Pelodiscus sinensis: one gene and its partners. The protein of the gene in region 3 interacts with the protein of the main gene of each other region in a pairwise test. Links are inferred from orthologs where the notes say so. Each region holds a gene or a part of one and is shown on either strand. Other genes may lie near its edges.

The links. The genes of interacting proteins can lie anywhere in the genome.
Region 1: the proteins of CCDC102B (region 3) and SPG21 interact in binary tests that used the Homo sapiens proteins (3 or more experiments, as listed by UniProt). The two-hybrid records come from large-scale screens. The link is inferred for Pelodiscus sinensis from reciprocal best matches to the Homo sapiens genes CCDC102B and SPG21.
Region 2: the proteins of CCDC102B (region 3) and ENKD1 interact in binary tests that used the Homo sapiens proteins (3 or more experiments, as listed by UniProt). The two-hybrid records come from large-scale screens. The link is inferred for Pelodiscus sinensis from reciprocal best matches to the Homo sapiens genes CCDC102B and ENKD1.

Annotation. Positions count from the first base shown.
Region 1 is NC_134724.1:6,636,634-6,643,570, reverse strand, and holds the start of SPG21 (maspardin), read right to left. Parts: upstream 3,004-6,937; 5' UTR 2,845-3,003; intron 1-2,844. UniProt on the Homo sapiens protein: May play a role as a negative regulatory factor in CD4-dependent T-cell activation.
Region 2 is NC_134722.1:46,626,276-46,633,132, reverse strand, and holds the start of ENKD1 (enkurin domain-containing protein 1), read left to right. Parts: upstream 1-3,854; 5' UTR 3,855-4,566; intron 4,567-4,799; 5' UTR 4,800-4,817; coding exon 4,818-4,902; intron 4,903-5,247; coding exon 5,248-5,463; intron 5,464-6,171; coding exon 6,172-6,344; intron 6,345-6,696; coding exon 6,697-6,857. UniProt on the Homo sapiens protein: Microtubule-binding protein which regulates microtubule organization and stability. Promotes the stability of astral microtubules and facilitates the proper orientation of the mitotic spindle.
Region 3 is NC_134712.1:92,057,253-92,064,202, forward strand, and holds the start of CCDC102B (coiled-coil domain-containing protein 102B), read left to right. Parts: upstream 1-3,940; 5' UTR 3,941-4,074; intron 4,075-6,950. UniProt on the Homo sapiens protein: During interphase, forms fibers at the proximal ends of centrioles to maintain centrosome cohesion. During mitosis, dissociates from the centrosome following phosphorylation to allow centrosome separation. Contributes to CROCC/rootletin filament formation.

The sequences.
Region 1 (6,937 bases), on a different chromosome or scaffold from region 3:
ACACTTGTTCTACTCTAGAAGAACACTTTTGTGGTATAAAAGGTATAATGGAGGCCAAACACCTCTTTCACTCAGCTGACTACAAAATGAAACAGGCTTAGACATTACTGGAATGGGAGGACAGCTGTGCATGAGAAAAAGAAGAGAGTAGTTCATTCTACTAATCCCCGGCACTTGCCAGAAGTATGGCTTACCCTGTTCACATATAAAACTGATGTGGGACGTGATGGTTCAATGAAGTACAGCAAAAATAGTAACAAGAAGCAAAATAACTTTATTCTTTTTACTATATTTATAAGCTTCAGGGAGTAGCCGAGTTAGTCTGCATAGAATAAACAACGAATAGTCTGGTAGGACTTCAAAGTCTAAAGAAACATGTAGATGGTATCATGAGCTTCCGTGGGCAGAAGTGGGTTGTGTTAAATTCGTTGTTTTTTAAGTTTATACTCTATTTATGTTAGAGTAGCAATCAGAAGCCCAAGTCAGGATCAGGGTACCACTTACATGAACACACGTTCGGAAAAGCTCACCAGACGCATTTAGTAAGTTTGCTAAAAGGAATGTGCTGAAGAATAATTTTGTTCACTGTAAAAAGACTAGAAATAAATTCCAGCTATAATCAGTTCTTTCCTCTTTTTCTGCCTATTGTTTTAGTACCATTAGAGGGGACCCCGGGGCTGGTGATGGGTGCCAGCTGCAACTTCAGACACAGGATTCTTTCACCCTGAGTACAGATGTGTTCAAACTTTCCCCCTCTGTGACTCTCACTGTTCTGTCAATATACCTCAACAATGACCAGACTGTTGGGACCCCCTCCCAGAGCTAATAAAGCATCTCAATCTCCATGCCCATTCAAACCTCTAGATCACCAGTAAGACTGGTGATAAAGATCTCAATCAGTGCCATTTGTGGAAAGTTTTATGCAGTGGACAGCAATCTATTAGCAAATGGACTGTGAGCGTCACAATCATGTCATGTAAGCAAGTCGTCCATCAAATGGTAAGTAGAGCCAACCACCACAAAACATTTCCACTTATGTTATTTTGTTCTGACCATGCCAATACCCCTTTTGTGTTCCTCTCTCAAGAGTGTTTGTGCAAATGAATTTCAATGGTACTAAATTCACTTTGTGAACATTCAAAGCATCATATGCAAGTATGCACAGAAACAAAATACTAAGTTCACACCAATAAATAGTTCTTCCGAGGCATGGAACAGAAACAATACCTTGAAATAGGGATGTAAAATCTCACTTAATTGGCTAACTAATTAAATATGATGTTTAACTGATTAAAGGGAGGTAGATAGGGGGCTAGGCTGGAGCAGTGCCCCTGCATGTGATGGGGTCGGGCCTGCTGCAGACAGTGGGGCTCTGGCCACCCACAGCTGCCCCTGCCTGTGGTGGGCCCCACAGGGCTGCAGCACTCCCCAGCTGGGTGGAAAGGCAGCTGCTCCAACCCCCATCAGTTAACCAGTTAAGGGTGATGCTTACCAGTCAATCTTTCACATCCATACCATGAAACATAACTAGGAAATCAAGTAACCAAAAAAAAAATGTAGCAAATGTCAAATACTCTCAGGCTGGCTAATGATTAAGCCAGTGTACATTTTTTAAACTACAGTTCCTATGCGTGGGTTGCCTGTTGATGTACATCTGATGAGCAGAAAGAGAGATTAAAGGTGTATGAGTCACAAAAAACTTCATTCACAACACTGCTCTGGTAAAAGCTTTTGGTCACTGACAGCCTGGACTGTTTTTAAGTCTATCACAGGAGCAAGAAAGCTGCATAGATTCTGTGAACAACTGCTTGAATGTCTGTACACCCAAACTGCATTTGATCTATAAGCAACAGCCCCATAAGCACTGCTATTTAACCCACCCATCAAAATGTTTGCTCTGCTGATGTGTCTTGCTGCATCGACCATTCTATTCCTGTGCCCAGGGACACAAAATCTGAATCAGTAAAATTGTGGGTCTAAAATGAACTGTGCATGTTGGTAAATGCAATGTAATCACAACAGCTACAGGTGCTTCAACTTACTGAAAGTGCCATTACAGGGAATTAAAACAGCAGCTTTTGGGACAGGAGATCACCGCCCCCAGCACTCTCTGCATTTCTGCTCCCTAATTTATGCCTCTACCCCAGCATGGGGGACTAAGAGCACTCCTCTTCCTCTGCCCCCCATTCACTCCCCCCAGCACGAAGGGGGGCAGACACCTCCTCCTCTACCCCCCATTAACTCCCCTCCCCAGCACGGGGGGGGGCAGACCCCTCCTCCTCAGCCCCCCCATTAATTCCCCTCCCCAGCACGGGGGGGGGCAGACCCCTCCTCCTCAGCCCCCCCATTAACTCCCCTCCCCAGCACGGGGGGGGGGGCAGACCCCTCCTCCTCAGCCCCCCCATTAACTCCCTCCCCAGCACGGGGGGGGGCAGACCCCTCCTCCTCAGCCCCCCCATTAACTCCCTCCCCAGCACGGGGGGGGCAGACCCCTCCTCCTCAGCCCCCCCATTAACTCCCCTCCCCAGCACGGGGGGGGCAGACCCCTCCTCCCCAGCCCCCCCATTAACTCCCCTCCCCAGCACGGGGGGGGGCAGACCCCTCCTCCCCAGCCCCCCCATTAACTCCCCTCCCCAGCACGGGGGGGGCAGACCCCTCCTCCCCAGCCCCCCCATTAACTCCCCTCCCCAGCACGGGGGGGGCAGACCCCTCCTCCCCAGCCCCCCCATTAACTCCCCTCCCCAGCACGGGGGGGGCAGACCCCTCCTCCCCAGCCCCCCCATTAACTCCCCTCCCCAGCACGGGGGGGGGCAGACCCCTCCCATTCGCTCCCCTCCCCCTTACCGGCTCCTCCCGCGCGGCGCTGCAGGGGGAGAAAGTGTCCGAGGCTCGTTCCCGCATCCCCCTCCCCCCACGAGTGAGGAGCGGACCCAAGAAAGCTCCCGCTTCCGGGTGCTGTCTGCGTCGGGGGGGGGGGGGGGGGGGAGGGACGGAACGTCAACCACGTGACCAGGAATGAGCGGTCGCAGCTGACGGCGTCCATAGCTACCGAGGCGGAACAATGGCGTCACGTGGCCTGGTGGGGCGTGGCCGCTGCCAGGGGGTGCGGGTCATATGACTTGTACCGCGGGTAGCACTTGGCGTTGGGGGCGTGCGGTTCCAGCTGTGGTTCCAGACACGTGACTCCCCTTTCCTTCCACGTGGGCCTTTCTCACCTCTGCCTCAGTCCCCAGCCCGCCTCTGTTCGCTCCCCTCCCCCCACCCCCATTTCCCTTTCACCCCCTGCCAGGCAGCGTCCTCCAGGGCTACCCTGAATGGTGCTGCTAACCCCCAGGGTTCAGACATCACACACCAGGCCCTCCCCCACATTATGAGAGGAGGGGGGGGGAAAGAATTGCCAGATGTTGTAAAAAAGGAAACATCTGGGGGGTGCATTTAGAGTGCACTTAGGACAAGTTTTAAAACTTTTCTGTGCCTCTGCAAGGGCTGGACATATGTTTAATGGAAGTTGAGATGCTTACATAATAAACATGACTCCAAAAGCTGGGACTTTAAATCACCATGACAATCATTGCAAAACTCCAGATAAAATATGAGAGTTGGCACTAGGCCTCAAAACTCAGCCCATTCCAGTGCCCCTTTACAGTGATTTTTTATTAACTCTAGCGAAAGCCAATGGACACAGATAAGCTTGTAGATATTTTTTATTCATATGAGGAAATGGAGAGAGGAAAATTCTGAAAAGTCTCTGTCATATTATAAGATGGCTGATTACAACAGCTGCATAATTCAAATTATGCATCACTGGCATGGCAAAATGTTTCCTTCGAACATAAGATGCATACGTTCTCTGAAAGAGGACAGTGAATTTGCATTCTCTTTGGGGGGGGCAACGGGGGAGAAATCCTTTGTTGAACATCAAGCAAGTGTATTTGCAGCTGTTGTGGTTTAAAACCAACAGATGGCTGTGTTTGGAAGTATTGCTATGTGTGAGAAAGGCAACTGAAGGCTGATTAAATGTATTTTAATAACTAGAAAAATAAGAATTCTTCCCTAACCCAATGCTGTAAAAAGAAGAAATATTTATTAAGAGAGTCCAAATTTTAGAAGGAACCAATTAAAGGTGACCTGTAAGTTGGAGGAGAACTTGGTTTGTGCCCTTTTTTTCTTCTTAATCTTCTTCAATTTCTCATTGAATTCTGGCATGCATCAAAGGGCAACATTTGAACCTTAATTTGTGAATTAGAAAAGCAAATTACCAGTAAAAGCTTTCCAAACCAATTTTTATTCTGGTTCCTGCAGGACCCCCACCTTTTATGCTTGTCAACAAGAAATAACTGTGGATGGCTGCTGCCATCTACAGAAAAGGAAGTATATAATTATTGTTCAATACAGTGTGCTACAATTTATACCCTGATCATGCATTTAACATGCTGACATCACAGGTGAGTAATTCCATTTAATTTTAACGGGACTTTGAGTACATGCCATTAAACATCTGTATATCTTGCTCCTCTAGCCCCAGAGCACACTGAGGCTGAAATCCCTGCCTAGAGCTTGGGCTTCTACTGGGCATTCAGCCAAAAGCCCATCTTCTGCTGACAGTGCTGTGCCAATTCCTAGTAGCTCCACAGTCAGGAGTTCCCATTCCCGGTTTGTTCTCCTACATTCCTTGCCTGCAAGAACATTTTGTCTAGGCCTCTTCCTCTTCCATGAGCCTCTGCTCATTGGAATAGCTTCTGAACCAGCTTCCCTGAGGAGCTTCTGCTAAGGAACATCTGGAGCTTTCTGAGTCCTAAGGAGCCAGTCTGAAATTTTGTCTCAAATGGTGTCTGTTAAGTTAGATCCCAAGCCGCCTTTCCCATTTAGTAGAATGAGCTGAATAACTGTAAGCTGCAGGCCTGTCTTGCCCAGCCCAGGAAGCACTAGTGCCAGGATCAAAGTCTGTTTGGGTCATTCCTTCGGAGCACAGTTTTATTTTTCACGCATAAGATTCACAAACACGGTTATGCAAACTGGCAACACTATCAGGTAACCAGGGACAAATTGTGAGGTGGCAACATTGGCAGATGATTCAACTACTTAGGATAGTTAAGTCCCATGCAGACAGTGAAAAGTTACAAAGAGATCTCACAAAACTTGGTGGGTGACTGTTAGAGTTGCCAGGTGTCCAGTTTTGAACCGGACAGTCTGGTATTTGTGGGTTCTGTCTGGGAAACAAATTGAGAAAATACCGGACATATAAAATGTCCGGTATTTTCTAATTAGGTAAGTTTTATTATTATTAGGAGTATCAGTACGTAGTTGCAAACTGCCTGGCTGCGTGAGTGTGTCTACCAGCCAGGCAGTATTAAACTATGCCAGGGGGTGGGAGGGAATCCCCTGGGCCGGACTTGCTCGTGCTTCTCCGGGACCGTGCGCGGGACGGGCAGCGCTCCAGGATCTGCATGCGCCTGGGTCAGTCCTGCTCCCCACTGGCTTATTCTCTCCCTCCACTCTCCCCCTCCCCTCCCCCACCAGCCCTGCTTCCTACCAGCCGGTATGTCCCCCTCCCCGCCTCCTCTCCACCAGCCCTGCTTCCCGCCGGATGGTTTCCCCTCCCCACCTCCTCCCAGCCAGCCCCACTGCCCTCCCGGCCAGTCCCCTACCCCCATTTGAGATCAAATGTGTCCGGTATTTTTTTTGAAGCCACCTGGTAATCCTAGTGACTGGCCATCAAAATGGCAGATGGCGCAACACATGGGGAGGCACAAGGGGCCACATGCACCCAAATGTGAGGTGGGGGGGCCCAGCTAGCCGATGGAGGGGAAACTAGCAGTGGAGGGGGCCTGGCATCTATAGGAGAGGTGCACTCACCCACAGCAGCAGGGGAAGATGAACAAGGCAGCCCCACTGTTTTGCTCTCCTGGCCACGTGACTCCACTCGCGCTGGAGAACGCAGGGCAATCCTCTCCTGTCTCCAGAGTGGCGCAGCTGGGAGGCTGCCTTGCCCCATGTGCCCCATCGTTGCCAGTGAGTGTGGGGCAGCGGGAGATATGGCAGACTCGCTATTCCCCCAGATGGCTTCAGTTCGAAGCACTTACTTCGAAATAGAGCACTCGTCCTCCAACTTCCCTTAGTCCTCGTACAATGAGGGTTACAGGAGTCGGAGTAAGAAATCCTCCAGCTTGACAGTATTTTGACATTATGTCAAAATAACTGCCGGCTGTGTAGACGTGGACTGTGTTATTTCGATTTATCGCTAGTTATTTCCAAAAAATGTTGGAGAGGCAGCCAAAACAAGCTAGAAGAAATGTTGGGAACCATTGGCAAAGGCATAGTTAATAAAGCAGGAAATAGCTTGTTGCCTTTGTATAAATCCATGGTACACCCACATTTTGAAGACTGTGTGCAGATGTGGTCACCCACCCCATCTCAAAAAAAGATACTGGAATTAGAAAAGGTACAGAAAAGGGCAACAAAATTATTAGGGGTACGGAGCAGTTTCCATCTGAGGAGAGATGAATACAGGCCCATACACAGGAATTTCTGGGGGTGTGTGCTTTTTTTGTAAATGTGGACTGCACCCTTTGCACACGCACATACACATACACAAACTCTCTGCTGCGTATGGGCTTGCACAACTAATATTAGCCCCTTTTTTCCTGGTTCCTGATAAAAGCCTTCTAATTTATAGCTACCAATATTTGTGGCAGGACTGTACTTTACCCTACCTATCAAACTGCAATCAAATGATTAAACCACGTGTCATTCAACTGTGGTCCATGGACTACAAGGAAGGCGGGAGGGTGTCCGGTGGATAACTAGGGGTATGTCTACACTACCACCCTAGTTCGAATGTAGTCAATCGAAGTTGCAAATGAAGCCCGGGATTTAAATATCCCGGGCTTCATTTGCATCTTGCCAGGCGCCACCATTTTTAAATCCCCGGTAGTTC
Region 2 (6,857 bases), on a different chromosome or scaffold from region 3:
TACCTGCAGCCGGTGGGCGTTGTGCATGACTGCGGCTACCGTGGAAGCGCCCCAGGCCAGAACTGCCGTGTTCGGTCAGACACCCATGCCTGCCCCTTTCTGGCTGTGAATTGCCCAGCGGCCTGTGCCCGGGCCCAGCCGTCAGGGCTCCAGGGTCGCTCCCCCAAGGAGGGTGGAGAGAGCAGAAGGGGCCTGCCAGCCTCCCCCCGTGGGGCAGAGCAGCTAGTGGGAATGGCTCTAAGAGCCCCAGGAACCAAGCAGGGATTTGGTGGGTGAGGGGAACGAGGGCGCAGCCTCTGCTGTGCTGGGGGTAGGAAGGAGCCAGGCAGCTAGTGTGTGTCTGCCCCGCTCCCTTCAAATCAGCAATGGGGCCGTCTGCTTCCCCTCCCCCTGCCTCCCTGCAACACCAAGCGGGGGGGGGGGGGGGGGGCGGAGGGGGGGAGAGCTGCACTTTGCATCTTCTGGGCACCAGCTCCTTCAGCCTCCCAATGCCCAAGTGAGGGGCTTGAAGTAATTAATATAAAACAATTAAGAGGCTGCTTGTTGCCTTTAGCAGCGCGGAGACCCAGGGAGGAGCCAGCGGCTGGTTCGTGTTCCCGACGCCGTTTCTCTGCTGGTCTCCCAGAACTTCAGCAAGGTACGTTGGGTTTGGTCCCGAGGCATGCTGGGAACTCACCTGGCCTCCAGCTAGTGAAGCACTTACCCCCTAACGAGTGGCCCAGGGGTCAGCGGTGCTGCCTGCAGGCAGATAGCGAACCCTCCACCCCAGTGCTTTGCCAGAGCGCTTGATCCCTCGCCCACGTGAGCCCTGTTCCACCGCTGGGGAAACCGAGGCACGGCGTGGCGCTGGACCACGACAAAGGCCACGTGGCGAGTCTGGGGCATGGTCTGGAATGGGGTCCTCGGGGCCAGTGCTCTGTGGCCCACACCTGGGGTCATTTTCCGCGGTGCCTCGGCCTCCTCCCTCCCCGTGCATTGACACCACGGCCCTGAGGCTGTGTTGGAGCTGGACCGCGCTGTTCCCTGTTTTACCTCCTACCTCTGATTCCCGGGCACCCCGCACAATGGGCCGCGGACAGAGAGAGCCCACAGCTGCAGGGTGTTGGGTATTGTGCCAGGGGATGCCTGTCCCAGAGCACCAGCCTGGCCTCCGCGGGCTAGCGGGGAGTTGGCCTGCCCCAGGTGGATTCCACACGCTGGCTGGAGCAGCAACGGGACTCAGGGTGACCTCCCGGGCTGGGGAGGAACCTCAGTTGGAGGGAGGGTCACTTCCCTGCAGGGGCAATGGAGCCCGGCTCCCAGGACAGCTTTCCTCCCGCCCCGAGCACACATTTGGGGGGAAATTTTCAGCCCAAGCTTTGGTTCAATTTCGACCCCTACAATTGTACAAATAATTGTGCAAATAATCCCCTGGACAAAACACTGAGCCAGCAGTGCAGGGGCAGCGTTGAGACCAAGGAAGGGGTGATGTGTGGGCCCGGCCGGGTACTCAGCGGCCCTGGGGACATTAGGGGGCAAGGCGAGGCCAGCTTTGGAGCAGCCGGCCCTTACAAGAATCAGGGCCTGGCATGGGGCTGGGGGGGGCAGCGTGACACGGAGCTGGTGGCGGGTGGCTCAGAATTGGGGGGGCACAGAACTCCCTGGGGGGGAGCGTGACACAGAATTGGGGGGGCGGAGCATGGAACGATCTGGGCGACTGTGACGTGCAACGGGGGGGATATGGCAATGGGAGGGGTCACGCCCGGCCCACTCTCGCCGGATCGGCCCATGCCGGGTGTCGGCGCGGCCGGCAGGGGGCGCTGCGGGAGCGGGCGAACTACAGCTCCCAGCAGCCCCCGCGGCCGGAAGCGTAGGTGACGCTGTTGCTAGGAGAAGCGGGGGCCGGGCCTTTAACCGCCGGAGAGCGCGAGCGGGTCAGTGCCGGGGGCGCTGTGTGGACCCCGCGCTGGGAGGGGCGGGGGGGGCCGCGCTGCGGGGGGCGGGGGAGCCGGGCTGTGGGGGGGGCGCGCTGTGAGGGGCGGGGGAGCCGGGCTGTGGGGGGGGCGCGCTGTGAGGGGCGGGGGGGCCGCGCTGTGGGGGGGGGCTGTGCTGTGAGGGGCGGGGGGGCCGCGCTGTGGGGGGGGGCTGTGCTGTGAGGGGCGGGGGGGGCCGCGCTGTGGGGGGGGGGGCGCTGTGAGGGGCGGGGGGGGCCGCGCTGTGGGGGGGGCTGTGCTGTGAGGGGCGGGGGGGCCGCGCTGTGGGGGGGGCTGTGCTGTGAGGGGCGGGGGGGGCCGCGCTGTGGGGGGTGGGCGCTGTGCTGGGAGGGGCGGGGGGGCCGCGCTGTGGGGGCGCTGTGCTGGGAGGGGCGGGGGGGCCGCGCTGTGGGGGGGGGGCTGTGCTGGGAGGGGCGGGGGGGCCGCGCTGTGGGGGGGGGGCTGTGCTGTGAGGGGCGGGGGGGGCCGCGCTGTGGGGGGGGGGCTGTGCTGTGAGGGGCGGGGGGGGCCGCGCTGTGGGGGGGCGCTGTGCTGGGAGGGGCGGGGGGGCCGCGCTGTGGGGGGGGGGGCTGTGCTGGGAGGGGCGGGGGGGCCGCGCTGTGGGGGGGGGGGGCTGTGCTGTGAGGGGCGGGGGGGCCGCGCTGTGGGGGGGGGGCTGTGCTGGGAGGGGCGGGGGGGGCCGCGCTGTGGGGGGGGCGCTGTGCTGTGAGGGGCGGGGGGGCCGCGCTGTGGGGGGGGCGCTGTGCTGTGAGGGGCGGGGGGGCCGCGCTGTGGGGGGGGCGCTGTGCTGGGAGGGGGCGGGGGGGCTGCGCTGTGGGGGGGCGCTGTGCTGGGAGGGGCGGGGGGGCCGCGCTGTGGGGGGGGGGCGCTGTGCTGTGAGGGGCGGGGGGGGCCGCGCTGTGGGGGGGGGCTGCGCTGTGGGGGGGGCTGTGCTGGGAGGGGCGGGGGGGCCGCGCTGTGGGGGGGGGGCTGTGCTGGGAGGGGCGGGGGGGCCGCGCTGTGGGGGGGCGCTGTGCTGGGAGGGGCGGGGGGGCCGCTTGGACACCGAAAGGGGTGGGAGAGGGCCCCCTGGCAGGGGCCCCACCTCTCCTAATTGCTTATCCTCCCTAGGCTCCACGCTCATCCCCCTTCCCTGAGCTGCTTTCTGACGGCCTGGGGCCTGCTCCTGCTTTCCATGAAGCTGGGGAAATTTCTGCCCCTGAGGTGGATGGGTGCAGGCTTGGCTTCCTGTGCGATACAGTGCCCTCCCCGCTGGCTCTGAAGCTGCCCTGCCTCTCCCAGGGGGAGGGCTAATGCCAGCAGCCCCACATGGGCCCTTCTCTCTGATCTGCTGCCAGCCCATCCCGCGCTCCAGGTGGGGAAGTCACCCGGCCTCCTTTGGAAGCCTGGTTGCGCGGCTAGGCCAGGCAGCAAATACTCCATGTGCTCTAACCCTGCGGCAAGAGAATAGAAAGGGGAAGCTTGGCTAGTCTGCGGTGGGTCTTTGAGTTCCCTCGGGAGCCGGCTGCTGCTATCACAGCCCTCCGATTGCTTTGACACTCCCTCCAAAGTCCACGGCTGTGTCTAGACTGCACCCCTTTTGCGGAAAAGGGATGCAGATTAGACACAGTGCAATTGCAAATGAAGCAGTGATTTAAATCTCCCCCGCTTCATTTGCATGAACATGGCTGCCGCTTTTTTCCAGCTCGGGGCTTTGCTGGCAAAAAGCGCCAGTCTAGACGGGGATCTTTCGGAAAATAAAGCCTTTTCCAAAAGATCCCTTATCCCTGATTTATCCCTGGGTGTGTTTTTCTAGGGATTAGCTTGGTCGAGAGACCTTGCTGGGAGGGGCAGGACTGCCAGTCCGACCCCACAGGCCAAGGGTTAGAAAGTTCATCTTGCAGAACTGGACCAGGATGCCAGAGTAGGAGCATCCACAGCTGGGGCTGCTCTAGAACAGCTCTGTAACTGTCCCTGCATTTATCCCCTCTGCAGTAGCCCCTAGTGGGGGGGCGATAATTAGCTGTCTGCTAATGGTTCTCATTCTCTCAAGAGCCATACTGCTGACAGGCAGGCTTAGGCGGATTAGCCGTTCGCGTCATAGACCCTCCCATCCCTGCTCCATATCAATAATTCATCAGCTTGTAAGTGGAATCAAGGGCTCTGTTTCTCCCTGGTGCGCTGCTGTGATCTCCCTGTACATCACACCCCAGTGGGGCTGAGATGCGGGAGAAAAAGATCTTCCCGCTGGATGGACGGACGGACGGACGGCCTGTCTGTCCCAATGGCTGAGCTGTCCAAACGCTGCAGGTCAGGGACCCTGTGGACCTGCAGCTCTCCTGATGTCTCAGGGGGTTGATGCTGCTCCACTTGCCCAATTTATTGTGATTTTTGGAGTAGGGAGTGAGTCTCTGGGGCAAGAGCGTGTGAGCCCAGCAGGGAGACGGGTGAGGGGAGATGCTATAAGCACAGCCATGTTGGCTCAGACCAATGGTCTCTCTACCCAGTGTCCCATTGTCCAACAGTGGCCAATACCAGGTGCGTCAGAGGGAAAGAACAGAACTAGATCAGTTGACTGAGTGACCCGTCCTGTTGCCTGCTCCTAGCTCGGCAGGTACTGCAGCAAACGGGGGCGCTCGGGGGCAGAGGGGCAGCCCTGGTCATGGAGGCCTGCAGCTTGATCCATGTCTAGACGGATGGGATCCCTTGGCCTGCAGGGTGACAATGTTCTCTCTAGCGGGATGTCGCCCCAGCGAAGAGCACTGGCCCCGACGTATTTAAAATCTTCACCGTGGCTGGGGAACGGTTCCCCAGAAAACACTATCTGGTTTCTGTCCCCCATGGCAGCTGCAGAGCCTGGCCGAGATGTCTGAGGGGCCTTCCAGGATCTCGGGGCCCATCCCTCCCGACCCCACACTCTTCCCGGACTATTACAAACGCCCCCTGTCAGGTGAGAGCCAGCGATGCATGGATGGGGTCCTGCATAATCGTGGGTGGCTAGTGCAGGTGAAGGCCTTCCCTTCCCTAGCCTCTGTTGGCTGCACAGTTCCTGGATCTGTGGAGGGGCAGCTCTCCCCCAAAGGGTGTGGAATGGCCCTGCAGAGACACTCGGCTCCTTTGAGGCCCTGAGCGCTCTCAGCTCCCATCGCCTCCAGTGCCAGGAGAGGCTGATGTGAGGAGTAGGAAGTGGGGGGATGTCAATATCTGTTAAACATCCCTCTATCCAGGGTGGGGGCACCGGGGGGGGAGCAAAGGGGAGGTGCCGCATGCCTTGACTCGTGCTGTCTCTCTCTAGCTCGAGGGAGGCTGGAAGGAAATGCCTTGAAGCTCGACTTCCTCTCTGGCCCGCTGGCCCCCGATCCCAGCCTGTATCCCACGTGTTACAGTGCCCGCCCTCCCCCACGTATCCGCCCCAATGGCCAGGACATCCTGGAGAAGGGGCAGATGGGGACAGTCGGGATCTTGCTGAAGCTGGAGGGGGTCTCTCTCCACAGGGAGCCGCCCCTGAAAAGTAGGTGCAATTGAGCAGGTGGGGCTGACGGGCAGGATAGAATGAAGGCTTGAACTGGTGCAGAGGCAAGGGTTTAGGATGGGGATTTGTGTGGGGCCTCACCCTGACTCCGGCCTGGCGTATGGAAAACGTGGGAGTGAGCCTGTGGAACTCCCTGCCATATGATGGAGGCCAAGAGCCAGGTAGATCCCAGGTGGTTTTCCTGGTACGTGGCTAATGGGAACAGCTCTGGGGAGTGCCTGGGATAGGCAGAGAACTTGAGAACTGCCCAGGGGAAGGTTAAAGGGTGACTTGGTTGCAGTCTCTAGTTACCTACATGGGAACAAATGGGCTTGTCAGTGTAGCAGGAAATCCAGTGGCTGGAAGATGAAGCCAGAGGGAGTTGGGGAGGAAGGTATAAATTTGTCCCCAGGGAGAGTAATTAGCCTTTGGAACAACCACCCGAGGGTAGAATCCACCACGGGTGAGTCTTAACTCAAAGGTGGCTGTTTTCGAGCAGCTGCTCTTGGAGTTACTCCAGCAAAGCCAGTGTCTTGGTGTGCTAACAAGGGGCTCTGGGGGTAGGGATCCGGCTGGCACACAGGGAGGGGATCCGCTTGCTGCTGTTTGCAGTGAAGGGAGCCGCTTCGCTGAGAGAGGCCCTGGTCATGGTGCCAAGGGGCTCAGCAGGGCCTGCTGGTGAAAGCCGTGTCTCGCCGGGGCGTGCAGGGCGCGAGTGCAAGGACCACGAGAAGGAGAATGTGAGGCGGATGCGGGAGATCCAGAGGAGGTGCAAGGAGAAGGAGCTGGCGCGGGAGCACAGCCAGCCCAAACCCATGAAGGCCCTGTGGAAATCCCAGAAGTATGAGAATGTGGAGTCCAAGGTGAAGGCCAAACTGCAGTACCTGCACACAGCGGCATCACAAAAAGACTAGAGAGAATTCCTTTGTCTCGGGGGCATTCTAGTCCCTGCCGCGGCCGGCTGCAGCGTGAAGCCGGGCCTGGCTGGGGCCACTCGACACACTGTGTGTGATGTGCTAAATGCACCGGCACGCCCATGGATTCCTCTCTCGTGCTACAGTGTCGCTCCATTGAACGCAGTGGAGATTTCCCCAGGCAGGGTCGTGTCTCCCCTGCCAGCTGAGTTCCCTGCCTGACTCCTGCCTGGAGGAGACGTTCCCCGCACGTGCAGCGGTAGAGTCTGGGGTCGCCCCTCGGCCCTGGAGCTCCTGCTATGTGGTTTGCCTTTCGCAGGAGAGCTCTCCCCCGCCCAACCCAGAGTCTCAGAACTTCCTGAGGGCATATTCCCGCTGCGGCTCCGGGGTCCAGCCGCGCCGGTCGCTGTCGCCCAGCCCTGCCATGTCCAGAGCAGTGCCAGACGCAGCAGCTGCAGGAGTGCAGGGCGCAGACGCCAA
Region 3 (6,950 bases):
AGGAGTAGCTTCTGAAAGGTATTATCACTATAAAACCACTGTGAGATTACAAACTGGCTCTAGTACTCTGGAATCATCATGAAAACGAATTAGAGTATTAATTTTTCCCCAGAAAGATTTTATTCTGACCTTTGGAAACAATGTTATGAGGATTGTCCAGAAGTTAAAATGTTGGGGCTTAGAGCCATGCTGAATGTGTTTTTGTTTTGTTTGTTAATTTAGCTAGTAAAAGGTACACTTTAGTTTATTATGCCCTGTGCTTGAACTGTATAGTTCTGGTTTCTTTTGACTGGAATGAACTATAATTCTGTTCAATACTTGAGACTGCCACAGAAATTACATCAATTCAATGGATGTTGACTTCTGTTGTTTTGAGAAAAATGTGACCCAGCTTGCTCCTCTGAGACACATTAAATAATTCTTTTCACTGGCTTTAGTAATCCTTGGATGGACTGACTCTTTTCCATTGTAACACCCTGGGAATGGATCTCAGCATTGAGGGCTTCAGAAATATTGTTTTTCACATCCTATTAATCCTCTTTCATGGACTAACTAGCATGATTTGCCTGGAGGGAGGTGGGGAGGAATCATTTGACATATCTCCAGGAATTAAATGTACTAGAATTGAAGGGAGGCCTGATTACCAGCATGATTCAAGTCGTAGAATTTCACCCAGTGAATTTTGCACCATCTATAAATTCTGGTTTGGGTAGAAGTGTATTCAGTTTTGATTTGTACAAAGAATTACAAGGCAGTGTGGCCTAGTGACTGAGCATTGGACCAAGCAGCATGGGTTTTATTCCTAGCTCTGCCACTAGTCTGCCCAAGGAAACTCACTTCACTTTGGTGCCTCAGTTTTACCAACTATACACAGCGGTTTTGTCTACACTGGCATGATTTTGCGCAAGAACTCTTTTGCAGAAGAGTTCTTGTGCAAAAACTCTTCCAGAAGAGAGTGTCTACACTGGCATGTGCCTTTGTGCAAGAGATGTGTTTTTGCACAAGACCATCCTTGACAGTGTAGATGCTCCCTTGCGCAAGAAAGCTCTGATGGCCATTTTAACCATAGGGCTTTCTTGCGCAAGAGGGCTTATTCCTGAGCGGGATCATCATAGTTCTTGTGCAAGAAGCACTGATTTCATAACATTAGAATGTCAGTGTTCTTGTTCAAGAACTCGCGGCCAGTGTAGAGAGGAAGCAAGTTTGGTGCAAAAGCGGGCCAATGTAGACACAGCCAGAGATACGGAGCCACTTTGAAAGGTACTTGTGAAAAGCACTATAACAAAATCTAGGTATGTTTGTTATTGCTATTCATTTGAAGACTTCGGGTGACAGAATTCACCATATGCCCAAGTAAATTATTCTAATGGTTAATTGTTCTTATTTAAAAAATTACACCTTCATTCTAGTCTGAATTTGTCCATCTTCTATTTCCAGCCATTAGATCTTGAGATCTTTTATTTTTTTTGTGAGTATAGAGCCCCCAAATATCAATAATCTTCTCCTCATGAAGGTATTTATAACTGGTGATCAAGTCATATGTTATCTTTTTCTTGAATAATAGTAATATATTGGATTTCTTTAGAAATCAATGGGAATTTTGCCCCCAAGTAAGGGTTGTAAGATTGGGCTGTTGGGGTACATCTACACAGCCATGTTATTGTTCTGAAATAACAAAGAGTGCATCTATGTTACAAGCGTTTTTCAAAATAATATTGAGCTGGAAGACTTGTTATGCTGAGGCTATGTCTAGACTCTAAGGGTTTTCCGGGCTGAGGTATCCCAGAAAAACTCCACTGCATCCAGGGATCGCGTCTGCTTGTCCAACATTTTTTGTGGAAGAGCAGATGCGCTCTTTCAGTGCCACAAGGAAGGGTTCTTCCGAAAGAGGAGAGTTTTCTGAAATTTGGCCCAGTGTATATTGGAAACTATTGGAAAAAGGTACGCAAATTGTGGAGCGCTATTTGTGTACCTTTTTCCGATAAAAAGCATCAGTGTAGACTGAGGCTGAGTCCTATAACCCTCATTTTACGAGAAGTAAGGGAAGTAGAAGGAAGAATGTTCTTCCTTTGACTTCCTGCTGTGTAGACAGCGCCTAGCGCCTAAAGCCAAGTTAAGCTATTTCAACTTAAGCTACACAATTGATATAGCTGAAATTGTGTAGCTTCATTCAACTTTAGCCCTGCTGTGTAGACATACCCTTGGTGAATAAGGAGTAGTTAATGGATTTGTCAGAATAGTGCTTTATTTAGAAATTTGTCGTTTTGTAGACAGTGTCAAATTTCGAAATAAGCTATTTTGAAATTACCTCAAAATAAGCTACTCAGTTTGCATAGTGCAAATTGCATAGCTTATTTTAAGGTAAGGATGCAGTGTAGATGCACCCTGAGTATATTCTGGGAGTGGGGAATGGCTGGACTGATGGCATGGAAGATATTACAGCAATAGTAAGGAAATGCTATGCATTTTGCTTAATGTGATGAATATAGCTTCAGATTTTTTTAAAAATAAATAAACGTTAAATAGTGGAAATTGGCACTGTACAGAATGAAGGCGGTGGCAAGATGGAGATGAGTGCTTGTGATGACTGACCGGAGAGAGTTGGAAAGGTAAGAAATAGCAGCACAACTAAAAAAAAAATATGTCTCTGGGTGTGTTTTCCTATAAAAGAGGTATGTGGTTACCTTAACTTTCTTTTGCTATAAACCAGAAGTCTGAATATTCTCCGGGGAGTGCAATACAGTGTATAATGTGGGATGATTTATGTGTTTAAAAATAGATTGATTTCCTTAACTATTAAGATTTAAGTTCTACAGCAAGTTGTGGGTGCTGGAGGTGGGAGGGGAGAATTCCACTCCGAAGACATGTAATTTGCCTGAGTTTTCTATATGGAAAAATGTATATTATTTTTCCTGGAACAGGTTTTCAAAAGTAACTAATGATTTTTGGGGTTCCTTAATTCTTTGGGATAACAATTTTGAAACATTTTGAGGGGAACTAATATTCAGAAAGTGCCAAGCAACTTCCTTCTGAAGATCGGATTCCTTTGAGGTATTTCTAGTGGGTGTTTCTGAAAATTATAAATCTGAAATCTTGGTGGTGGTCTTTTTCTGGGTGTAGCTCTCCTGTTGATATCAATGTATCCAAAAGAAGCAGGGAGAGCAAAGGGGGGGGAGCGTTTGTGGGAGAGTTACCATTGTTAGATCCAAAGAAGAAGCCTCTTTCCAAATGACACAGGGGATTGCAGCTACTCTATATAAGCATTATGACTGAAGTAGACTCAATGGGCCAGATCAATGGGCTTGCCAGAGCTTCGCTGATTTCAATGGAGCCATGGTATTGTTTGACTGAATGACTCTTAAGAGGTCCCACAGTGGTAGCATGCAGCTCCTTTGCAGATTCCTATTATAGGCAAGCTGGTGCGTTTCAATCTTTCCCTATATTTGTAGCCCCAATGTTACAAAAGTGTACTATTTTATATTCCACAAAATATTTTTTTTTTCTTTAGTGTACCAGTCATTTATGTTTGTGTGGTGTAAATGATATTCAGAGCTCAAGAAATTACCCTTTTCTTTCAGGGTCTGTATTTTTTATTTGGATTTGGTTAGCTTGCTCACACCTTTTGTGCTTCACAATTTAAATATCACAGGACTTTTGTTAATGGTGTAATGTACTTTACAATAGCATGCAAAATGTACCAGAGATACATGTGGAGTGGGAGAAGCTGTTGCTGGCCCAGAAATCAATCAATCAATCTCTCTCTCTCACACACACACAATATGCAGTTCAGAAAAGGAGGAGAAATTACTGATGAAAAGCACAATAAGCTGTGTGTGGCGTGTATCTGTAGGTGGTGACTGACTTGCATTTAAAAAAAAAGTTGTGGTATTGGTTTTGATACAGCCTGACCAATGGGAATCTTCTTTCTAGTTAGTGTGGAGTGGCTTTAATGCTGGAAATAATCCTGTTGGCCAAAACCCCAGAACTGTGCAGATCAGAAAAGGATGCAGGAAATTCTGTTTACACATGTGTCTGCAGCACTGAGCAGCAAGAACAGCCCAGCAAGCCCAAAGGGTAAGGGGCTTTAGTAGTCTTGTGGTTTTATACTGTGTTAATTTTTATATCTTTCTGCAGGGTGGTGTGTATAATACTCACCCAGGGAACTGAGGGTGGAAAGCTCTATAAGCTATATTACAGAAGTACTTAGATTTAAAAAAGAAAACTATTTTGATTGTGTGATTAAATTGTGTTTTACTATTTTCCTTTTGCTTTCCATTAAACTACCATTGGACAATTTTTTTTATCTTTGCATCATATTAAACATACCTTGTCCTGTATGTATGCAATATGCTTATTTTAATATAAGATTTTAAAATATACATTTGCACAGTAAAAGTATGTTAAACTATCTTTATTATTAATTTAAAAACCTGAATGATTTACTATAAATATGGAATGTTGAAGGCTTACACTGTTTATATAAAAATTCAAAAGTACAGTAGGAGAAGGAGGTACTGTTTGGGTCATTTTCTAAACCTCACTCAACACTAGAAATTTTAGTCTCAGGGGAATAGTATAGTTTGAGTTTGCAACTTGCACTCAATTTCTGTTGCGGTTAACAGGAAGTTGTGTAATCAGAAGGAATGTTTCCGATATAAAATGTGCAACTAACTGATAAATTTGTGATCTTAATTTCCCCCTGAAAACTCTCTGGATACAGGCAAAATTAGGAGCTATAAATCAGTAAGGTTTTGTTTGTTTGTTTTTTGTTATACTGCACTTTAAAAATAATAAAAAAGGAAATTCAGCTAGTACCGTTTCAAATAATGGACAATCTCAGAATGTGTGTGGATGAGCTGTCACTAGGAAGGACCTGAGGAATAAATTCCTAAAGTAATACAGAGCAATTTCATAAATGCATATAGCAGACTGTTCTAACTTCTCAGCAGTTAAAACCCAGGTTCTCTGGCTGTATCTAGCTTTTCATTTTCACTGTTTTCATCACTACCACATTAGTTTATTCCCCACAACCATTAATGTTGATATTGGGTAGGAAACATTTTTCTTGCTCTAATATAACTTACAGAAGGAATACTTAGTGTTCTTGCAACTATTTGCCCTAAAATGCAAATGTGCCCTGAAATGTATATAAATATACTGTATAAATGTTGTTTCATGAATGGGACTTGTGTGTTCTTCACCTATTCCAACCATCCAACAAATTTAATGGACATTCAGTAAGTGCAAAGAATGATGTATCAAGCTTATTTTCTATTTTTTCCTGTCCTTTATTTAATCCAGTGCTCTTCAATTATTTCTTTTACTAATCACCTGTAATTGGTTAATTTATTGCCATTTACCTCAATAGATAGGCCTTAGCATCTTTTAATAGATTAATTTATTAATCTTACCAATAATTATTTAGCCCCACAAAAATATATAGAACTTTCTGAATCAAAGAGATGTTCCCTGCCCTAAAGAGTTTGGTGCTAAATATTGTTTTTCATCCCTTTCCATTTCTTCTAAATCTCTATCAAATCATTTACTGATTGCTAATGTGACTGCTTAGCACAATTTATAAATGCTCACACAAGGTCTTGGCAAAAACAAGTTGTGACGTAGTGGGGGTACTTGCTGGGATGTGGTGACCTCTGCTGTCTGGAGCAAGACCCAGCAGGGAAAACCTCACTAGGCAGAGGTAAGGACAAACTTGTTGAACCAGTGGCCAGACACCCCCCATGGAGAGGAACAAAGGAAGGTGAATGCGGCCCTGGCTGGGGGGCAGGGCTGGAAGTGGGTTAGTTGGTTGGTGGCTGTCTGTGAGGATGGATGAGACAGCCTAGGGAGAGGAGCTGGAGTTTTAGGGGCCCAGTCTCCCCCATCTCAAGGGGGCCTGAGGCATCCTAGCCCAGTTCCTGTAACCAGACTACATCTGTGCTGCGCTGTGCTGGAGGAGCAATAAACCACCCTCAATTCCACTGGCTGGTACAGTCTGTTTGTGCCATTTCGGGGTGCAGGAGACGGGGAACCCCCAACGTGCCGTCACACAAGTCTAAAAAAATCTTCAGTTTGCTGCACTGCTTATGACGTTTCTTTGCAAATCGTGTACATAGGATGGATCCCTCTAACATATATGATAGAATTTAGGAATACATTGGACTTAATTCATATACACTTTCACACCAGTAGGGCCTTGCTACCCTCTGTTGGTTGTCTCATTGTGGAAGGTCAGATTTTCAAAGATCATCAAAATTCTGGATAAGACATCTGGCTATGGCCCTTCCCTAGTTAACCTCTAGATATAGCCAAGGGTGCTAGATACTTTATAGGATAGGTTAACTGAGTACAAGCCTACATATTCAAGGGCTAAATTAAGACTACTTGATAGGTGTACCCATATTTTAGAGCAGTGGCTTGCAAACTCTGTTGGTTCGTGTGCCACTTCAACATTTTTAAGGCAGTTGGTGGAACATCAAGTTTGTCTGTCATTAGCGGTACATGCACTGCAGTTTTCAGATAATTCCATGGGAATAAGTCTGAGGAATTTTAATTGGACTTGATATATTTGTCTGTCTGAAATGCTCTACTTTTTGTAAAAAAAGAAAAAGGAGAGAGGAATCCAAGTATTGTATAACAGAGCTCAACCAGGGTTGACCAAAACTCAAGCAGTCACAGAAGCAGTTAGATATTCTTCTCCCAGCAAGAATTCATATATATGGATGATTCTATAATATATTTTATAAGGTTTCAGTTTTCACTTTATTAACTGTAAATTCATTTTCTCTAACTGCCATACCCTCATTCTTATTTTGCTGTCTATGTTCCTTGTACTCCTTTTTCCTTCACCTGACTTCCAGATTACGCTTTATTGAATACACATTGCACCAAGTCTTTTTCAAATATGAATATGATTTGGTACTAAAAATAGACATCCCATATTTTCTCCATTA